Linked DNA regions of Callithrix jacchus. The protein of the gene in region 2 interacts with the protein of the main gene of each other region in a biochemical or structural test. Links are inferred from orthologs where the notes say so. Each region holds a gene or a part of one and is shown on either strand. Other genes may lie near its edges.

Region 1 (4,399 bases), on a different chromosome or scaffold from region 2:
TTCTTAGTCCGGCACTCATCCCCAGCCTCGTGGCTCAGGCCAGCTTATGAGCTTGCAGAGGCGAAGGCTGCAGGCCACTTGCCTTCTGCTCACTGGCTGTCCGTGCACCCCTGCCGCAGAGGTCAAGTGAAGCCCTGCACATCCACATGAATATTTGGTTAAGTATCCAAATGCTTCTTTTTAAGGAAAAACATCCTCAGATTCACACTCCCACATTTAAGTAAAAATTATTCAGCATGTATGCTTTGTGGCATAGATTATCTGGTAAGCATGCAAACATCAAAAACCCAGATAACTGGCTGGGCATGACTGCTCATGGCTATAATCCCAGCATTTTGGGAGGCCAAAATGGGACACAATTGCTTGAGGCCAGGAGTTCAAGACCAGCCTGACCAACATAGCAAGACCCCATCTCTATTTAAAAAAGAAAGAAAGAAAGGAAAGAAAGAAAAAACCCAGATAACTCTCCTGGGAAATGGAAAAAGCTCACAAAACTTCTGAAACGCAGGGATCTTAGAGACAGAAATGGCTATTTTGCTCCAAAAACCTACCTTTGAATTCCAGAGAACCAGCAACTGTGTCTACAATATGCTGCTTTACATTAAACTTTCACTGTGACAGAGTCAGTTTAAAACAAACCAACTGGAGCTTGGGGGGGAATGAAAAACATATTTGACCTAAGACATTTCCAAATGACTGCAGTTTTAGAATATGTTGAGTTGTTTTAAGTTGGCTTCTGCAAGCTCAACATTTTATTCATTCCTCTCTCCGTTGTTTTAGAGTTGAAATGAATGCTACAGTTTTCTAGGAAAATCTTTCTAGAATTCAGAAGAAAATGATTATTGAAGCCTGTCAATCACTATTAATGCAGTTAATATGCCAAACACCACATTCTTTGATGGCGACACGTTTTTATCAACACGGCATATGAAGTTTCTCAAAGCTTTGCTTTCAGAGATGATACAGGATTTTATTCAAGCCTATTTTGGCGAACTTAGCATGTATTTCAACACTTTTCGACATCTGTCTTGTATTACCAGAGGTACCAGTCTCCAAACAACAAAGTATTTTGAATGCCTTGAAAGTCAGATCCTGCTCCTTAGTCCTCCTGTCTTAAATCATCATGTCACTGTGACATCAGGTTCATTTTAAAGGAACGTTTTTATTTCATGGACACTCTAATATGCAGATTCCGTCTTCATAAAAATGTGCCAAGTAAGAAAAATACCTAAAACTGGAATGTAAGCCAAATTCACATTTAATGTTTTCTGACCTCATTTAAAATGTAGCAGCAGAACATGCGCACGTGTATAAGATTAAACATTTTACTTTTCAAGTCACTTAGGTGGCATTTTATTTACAAGTTGTCATGCTGTATGGGGGCCAATACACCCCACTTAGAAACTTAAGTCGTTCTTCCTAGTTGTGGTACTCTTCAGTTTCTGTATTTAACACATTTTAAATAATTGTTGATCTGAACGCTGTGTATTGGCCACCCACCACCCTCCCCTCCTCCAAAAAAAAAAAAAAAAAAAAAACCCTGGGAATAAGATTGGTATTTTGAGCTACAGGGAGACCTCGTTTTTAGAAGCTCTCCTGTCTCCTGGGCCCTGCTGGCCGGTTTGTGGGCGATGAAAACAAACTTTAATCACTTCCAGAAATTCGGGTCAGGGTTCACACGCTCCAGTCTGGGAACTACCAGAGGGGAGGGAGAGGCAGTGCCTGCAGGACTCTGGGTTCTATTCAGAACCAGGGAGGGACCTGAGAACGAAATCTGAAATTTTAAACAAGCCTTGCAGAGTGCCGGGGCTTAAACCCTGTGTCTGCCGTCCTCTCGGATGGGGGTAATTTTCTCCAGGGGAAAGTAAGTACATCATTTCCCAGCGCAGCCCTCAGCCGCAGATGCGAGCATCTTTAAAAATGCAGAGCAACCGGTCCATTCACCGGGAGGCGAAACACGCAACGCCACCGGCAAGAACTGTCCACACAAAGCCAGCGGACAGAGCCGCACGGCGTCGGAACGCGGTTCCGACCGGGCCGCGGCGAGGCAGCGGAGCCCACCTCCAGCGCGGAGGGGCCACTCGGCGTTCGGACCCCCACCGCCCGCGCCCCTCCTCCCGCCCCCTACCCAGCCCCGCTCACAATGGCGCCCCCGGAGCTCCCGCCACGGTCCTGGCGCCGGCCGCGCCGCCGCTCCGCGCACAAAGGAGGGCGCGCGGTCCCCCGAGCGCGGCCGGCCCCAGGTGCTCCGCGCGCATCCCGGGCCGCAGCGGGCCGGGCCGGGGGGCGCGGGCGAGGACTTACTTTCTCGATGGTCCCGGGCAGCAGGCGCTCCAGCAGCCTGCAGAGGACCACCCCATCCTTCAGCGACGCCTGCAGAAAGCCCTCCGGGTCCGCGATGGTTTTTTTGGGCGACTCCAGCACCCCCAGGGTGATGAGCCACGTAACGGTCTGCTCCGCGGAATTCATCGCGGCGGCCCGGGAGGCGGGCGGGCGGGGAGGGGCGCGCGCCTGCTTCACCTCGGAGCGGCTGCCCGGCCCGCGGCCCCCACCGCCCCCGCCGCCGCCGCCGCCTCCTCGCCCATGGAGCGGCCGGCGCCGGCGATCGGCTCGGCGCGGCCCAGCAGCTCCGGCCCGGCCCGGCCCGCTCCTCCGTGCGCCCCGGCCCACGGTCAGGCGCCTTCTCAGGAGCGGCTCAGGAACCTGCGGGCGCCCGCCGCCGCCCCCCGGCCTCGGCCGCCGTCGCCCAATGACATCACCGCCAGGAGAAGAAAGACGCGGCCGTCCGCCCGGCCCGCGCCCGGCCCGCGCCGCCCCGCGCCCTGCGCAGCCTCCGCTCCAGGCCGTGCGCGGGGCGGCGGCGGCGGCGGCAGCGGGGAGCGGGCGGGGAAGGGGGAGCGGAGCGTGGGGCGCAGGGCGCGGGGAGAAGGAGCCGGGGGCCCCGGGCGGGGGCGGGCGCGCACCTGCGCTCACCTGCCCCGGGCCCGCCGCGCGCCCCGCGCCCCGCGCCCCCGGCCGGGGCCCCGGGAGCCCTTTGTTTATGTTTTGAATTCGTGAGCGTTGAAATGATGAAGTGCTTCCCAGAATGCTCTTTTTATTTTTGCCGGTTTTGTGTCACGGTGGCGGGGAGAGGCTGAAAACGAGACGTTGGTTTGTTTCCCTTCGCTCCCTCCGGTCACTGCGGAGCACGGATGAGGATGACATCTGCGGCCGGCGGGGTTTGGAGCGGGGGTTGAGCGGGGACTGACGCTCAGCGCGCGGCGCTGACCTTCCAGGCCGGGAAGGGGCCTGCGTGACCCCGCTCGAAACGGGCGGCGACGCCTCAGACCCTGCTGGGGGAAGGTCAAGGAGAATGGGCGGCCTGAAGCAGGGCTGTGCGAAGGGCCGGGTCGGTCAGGGCTGCGAGTCGGGGGGCGCAGCGTCACGGAAGAGCAGGGCTGGAGACCGCGCTGTGAACGCGCCAGGCCGAACCTGGAGATCCCAGACGGCAGCTGTCGGGTCATGCGCGAGCTTCCTCGAGCACCTGATGACACGCACACATTTCCACGCGAGGAACAAATGGAGCCTTTTCTTAAAAGGACGCGCGTCTCCACTCACTCCACCCACTGCCCCTGAGCGCTCTCCCCAGTTTGCTCGCTGCGACCCGCGGGCAGTTGAACAAGCAAAGCGCTTACTCTATGCCAGGCACATCCATTAATCCATTCAGTGGCAGAGGCCAGAAAGCACATAAAGCTTCCAAAAATAATCAGAGGCTTAGGTCGTCTCCCTCTGCCTCTGCCGGTGGTTTTCTCTTGCAATAACTAACTGCATTTATTTCTAGCCTTGAGTTAAGTGTTTAAAATTTTCTTTGCAAATACACAAACTATTCAAGTGGCAGTATGAATTCTGGATTACGAGGACAATGTGCTCTCCGTGATAACAGCAACCAGCAGGAACCTCACGAAGAGCTGTCTACTGCCTCACCTCCCATCATGGTCCCCGTTTTACCGATCAGATGCCGAACACATGGCAGAGATGGCACCCGAAGCTCAGCTCTACCAGTAAAGACATAGCTAACCCGTTTCTTCCTGCTGCCCTGTAAGCTTTCTAGGAAACAGGAGAGCAATCCACAGCTACATCAAGCCTTGTCCCTAGAGTCCCCATGGAAAGAAGGACGTCAACCCCGGAGTGGTTGCCCACCGAGACTCCTGTCCACTCTCCTTACTGCTGAATTAGAGAAGTCATTTCACATGCAGTCCTTACCATTCCGAATCCTGCTAAATTCGGTCTGGTACTTATAAGCTGCTAGACTTGAGTAAGATTCAAATAGACTCAATTAAATGGTCCTCCAGAAAGCCAGCTCTAGGGAGTGGCCTTGGGACACAGTGAAGCAGAGACTCACTTATTGTCAGACCAGAGA
Region 2 (4,251 bases):
AAGAAAGTATGACTTTATATTAAGTCAAATATACTGGAATTAAGTGTCTTTGTTGGCCAAATAGCTGTGGCACTAATCAATAAATGAGCTGTTATTAAGACAAGCTATTTAAGCTATTTTTCTCTAACATAGGGAAACATCTCAAGAATAAGAGACGGAAGTTCTCTACTTTGCTGAAGCTTTCAGACTAGCAGAGAAAACAAATAATAAACAGATACTGCAAAGATAGGATGGTTGGAGAAGGCAGTGATATTTGAGGGTTGAGAGAGACAACCAAAAGTCAGGGGAAGAAGAGGGAGGCAGAGCAAAGAAAGTTCAAGGCCTTGGCTCACACCTTGTAAACCCAGCACTTTGGGAGGCTGAAGCTGGCTGATAACTTGCATCCAGGAGTCCGAGACCGGCCTGGGCAACCCAGCAAAACCGTGTCTCTACAAAAAAATAAAAAATTACCCAGGCACAGTGGTATGTGCCTGTGGTCCCAGCTACTCAGGAGGCAGAGGTGGGAGAATTGCCGGGAGGTCGCGGCTGCAGTGAGCTGAGATCATGCCACTACACTTCAGCCTGGGTGAAAGAGCAAGACTGTCTAAAACAAACAAACAAACAAAAATCAGCGGCTGTAGTTGGGGGAAAGATTGTAAGTCATGTGACCCATGTGGCTACGGCAAGGGACACTGGGGTGTAGGTAGAGTTAAGAAGAGCGGTATTCAGTTCTCACGTCACGTCGGACTGAATACAGGCCAGGGGGAATGAGAGGCTATCCATTCCTCTGATCTGGGGCAAGTCACCAGCCCTTTCAGAGAAGCCTCCTCTGAAAATAGGAGGATAATACCTTGCTTTACAAGGTTGCAGGGATCAAAATAACTGGCAGTGGGCTGGGCGCGGCGGCTCACGCCTGTAATCCTAGCACTCTGGGAGGCTGAGGCAGGTGGATCACTAGCTTGAAGTCAGGAGTTGAGACCAGCCTGGGCAAAATGGCAAAACTCCTTCTCTGCTAAAAATACAAAAATTAGCCTGGCGTGGTGGCAGGTACCAGTGATCTCAGCTACTTGGGAGGCTGAGGTAGGAGGACGCTTGAACCCAAGAGGTAGACGTTGTAGTGAGCTGAAATCGAGCCATTGCACTCCAGCCTGGGCAACAGAGTGAGACTGTGTCTCAGAAAAACAAACAAATAAGAAAGAAGTGGTAGTGGAAGCTCTTTGCAAACTACCATTACCAGTATTATTACAAACACAATCATTGGGAAAAGATGCAGAGTATAGCCCGGAACTCTAGCGGCGCCGACCCACACGTGCTCGACAGGCGGGCGGAGCCAGGGCAGTCCAGGCACCGCCTGGACCCGCCCCAGCCTCTTCCCCTTCCCTGTTCCTCCCACTTCCGCGGGCACCCGACTGTGCGTCTCCTGCGCGCTGACGTCAAGTGCGTGCCCCTGTCCGGCAGCCGAGGAGACCCCGCGCAGTGCTGCCAACGCCCCGGTGGAGAAGCTGAGGTGAGTGCGGGGCCCGAGGGTCCCCGCGGGAGCGGCTCCCCCACCTTCCCGTCCCCGCTGTCCCTGTCCTCTCCCAGTTTTCGGGGACACCTGGTCTGCGAAATCTCGGGACGCCTGGGAGCGCGGGTCGCGGGGAAGTGCCCGGCTCGAGCTGCGTCCTCCGGGCGGGCGGGAGTCCGCGTTCTGTGGGGGACCCGGGGCGGGGGTCGCGGCCGGGGAGGCGGTGGGCGCCCACCCGTGGTGGGGCGCGCGGCCGGGGCTCGGGGCGCGAGCGGGGCCGGGCTGTCACCGGCAGGGGCGGAAGGAAGGGGTCACACCCATCCCGGGCGCCCGGGCTCCCTTCCCCCCAGCCCGGCCCCGCGGGCTCCTGAGGGTGGCAGGGGCCCGGGTGCCGGGGGCCTCGGAGCGACTCGCGGGCGCCTGAGGCGGGCCGGGCGCCGGTCCCCGGTCCCCACAGGCTGGGTTTTGTGCCTTGCGCTCCAGCCCGACTTCCTGCTTCGCCGGGCGCAGCCGCGGACATTTTGCGGCACGGGGGGAGGGGAGCGGCGTTGCGGCCGCAGCGGGGCGGTGTCGGGAGGGCGGCTCGCGGGCTGCCCGCTGCGGTGCCTGTCGGCGCTCCCCTCCGCTCGGGTCGCGTCGTCCGGGCCGGGTGGCGCCGAGCCGCGAGCTGCTCTGTTCCTGCCTGAGGTCGAGTTCCTAGCATTTCCGTCCTCTTCTCCAGCCCGCTCCCTACCGATTCAGCTGAAGCTTCCCTTTCGGGGAGTTACTTAACCACCTCCCGAAACCGTCGTTCTGCTGCTTGCTTAATTCCTCTTACTGGGGGGAAATTTTCTTTGTTCGTTTGTTTTTCCTCCCCTTTAAGTCTTAAGAGAAATGCAGTGTGGAAGATTACGTCATCGCAGTATAAGAAGTGAGACTTAACTCCTACAAGTCAGGGACTTACAAATTGATACCGCATTTTGCAGCTTTAGTCGGTCACCCCTTGGCTTATTCTGCCTGCTTCCCAACGCATCGTAATCAGATGATGTTTTGAAACCTTGTTACTGTGGTCATGGTCGCCTTCAATGCACCTAAAAGCCAGGAAGTAAACCCCAGGATTAGCTTGTGTCAGGGAATAAAGTATAAGACAAGCTGCTTGCGTGGGCATTAACTTTAAATTGAGGTCCCTTTGACTATACTAGAATGAAGTGGTTTTATTTGTGGGAACACTTTTTCGGTCCAACATGACTTTCCCAGACTGTTTGGCTTCTTTATGACTTACTGCATGCCGAGAACCTCCCTAGTTGATTCAAGTGCACTTTTTGTGGTGCAGGTGTGTTGAAAAGAGGATCAGTTTCCGCCTGGTCTGTTAGACATTTTAGTTTTGTTATTAAAAACGAGACTTGGATTTTTAAGCAAAAAACTTAATGTTTTCATACTTTTGAGATCACAATTTTTTTTTTTTTTTTTTTGAGAAAAGGTCTCAAAGACGTTACTAAATACAATGGATATTGCACTTCCAGGCTAGAGTGCAGCCCACCTCAGTCTCCGCCTCTCGTGCTCTAGTGATCCTCCCACCTCAGCCTTTCGAGTAGCTGGTACTATAGGCATGTGCCACCACGCCCGGCTAATTGTGTGTGTGTGTTTTGCCATCTTGCCCAGGCTGGTCTGTAACTCCTAGGGTCAAGCAGAGATCATAATTTTTCTTTCCCTAAGCATTTATATCCTAAATTTTATATCCTTCCGCGATTACAATAGTAACACAGAAAAATGTTAACACTGTAAAGCAAATGAGATCCAATTGTGTAATGCATTGTTGTAAAGATAGTTCATGTCGAAACAAGTGCTTTCCCACTGTTTATCATTTCTATAGAGAGAACAGATTGTTAAACAAAAGGAGTGTTGGTTCAAGGCAGCTTTCTGTAGTGTGTAGGCATTACAGACCATGGGATAGGTGTGGAACTTGGATCTTCTGAAATACATTTGTTAGCCTTGATGTGATATTTTAGGAATATAACATTGGAACGCATCTACTACCTTATTTTCTTGAGCTTGCTATATTTTAGAATTTTAAATAATACCAATTTTTGTCTTTCCTTTTAGAAAATAACCTTGGTTTGGATGTATAGTTTGGATGTATAGTTTTTATACTGAGATGGAGATAAGAGACTGATAATCAACTGAATATTAAATGAGCTTGTTTTCAGTAATTTCTAAAAGACCCAAAAGGTATTACATCCTCTATTTTCCCTTAAAATGTTTTCAGATTACAACCAACACCTGTTCTTATTAAACTTAATTTTTTTGAGATTCTAAGGCAGATGCTATAGCCTAGAGTAGTATGGGGACCTAAATAACAAATTGGTTGAGTTTTTTGTTTTTTTTGTTTTTGTTTTTTTTTTCAAGATAGGGTTTACTCTGTTGTCCAGGCTGGAGTGCAATGGTGTGATCACAGCTCACTGCAACCTCGGCCTTCTAGGCTCAATCCTTTCACCTCAGCCTCTGCAGTAGCTGGGACTACTGCTGCATGCAACCAGGCCTGACTACTTCTTGTATTTTTTTTGTTGAGATAGTGTTTTGTCATATTGCCAGGCTGGTCTGGAATGCCTGTACTCAAGCTATCTGCTCCTGTTGGCCTCTGAAAGTGCTGGGATATAGGCATGAGCTGCTGTGCTGTGGACAGGCTTTCTTGGAAGTAAAAGACAAGTTGTACTTTTATTTATAGATATGTTTTAAATGCACTTCTCTATTTTAGTTTGTCTTTTTTTTTTTGAGAGGATGAGAAA

The links.
Region 1: the proteins of CDC42 (region 2) and ARHGEF7 form a complex in vitro, tested with the Homo sapiens proteins (2 studies listed by BioGRID). The link is inferred for Callithrix jacchus from reciprocal best matches to the Homo sapiens genes CDC42 and ARHGEF7.

Annotation. Positions count from the first base shown.
Region 1 is NC_133502.1:26,672,611-26,677,009, reverse strand, and holds the start of ARHGEF7 (rho guanine nucleotide exchange factor 7), read right to left. Parts: upstream 2,836-4,399; 5' UTR 2,470-2,835; coding exon 2,305-2,469; intron 1-2,304. UniProt on the Homo sapiens protein: Acts as a RAC1 guanine nucleotide exchange factor (GEF) and can induce membrane ruffling. Functions in cell migration, attachment and cell spreading. Promotes targeting of RAC1 to focal adhesions. May function as a positive regulator of apoptosis.
Region 2 is NC_133508.1:58,817,193-58,821,443, forward strand, and holds the start of CDC42 (cell division control protein 42 homolog), read left to right. Parts: upstream 1-1,435; 5' UTR 1,436-1,486; intron 1,487-4,251. UniProt on the Homo sapiens protein: Plasma membrane-associated small GTPase which cycles between an active GTP-bound and an inactive GDP-bound state. In active state binds to a variety of effector proteins to regulate cellular responses. Involved in epithelial cell polarization processes.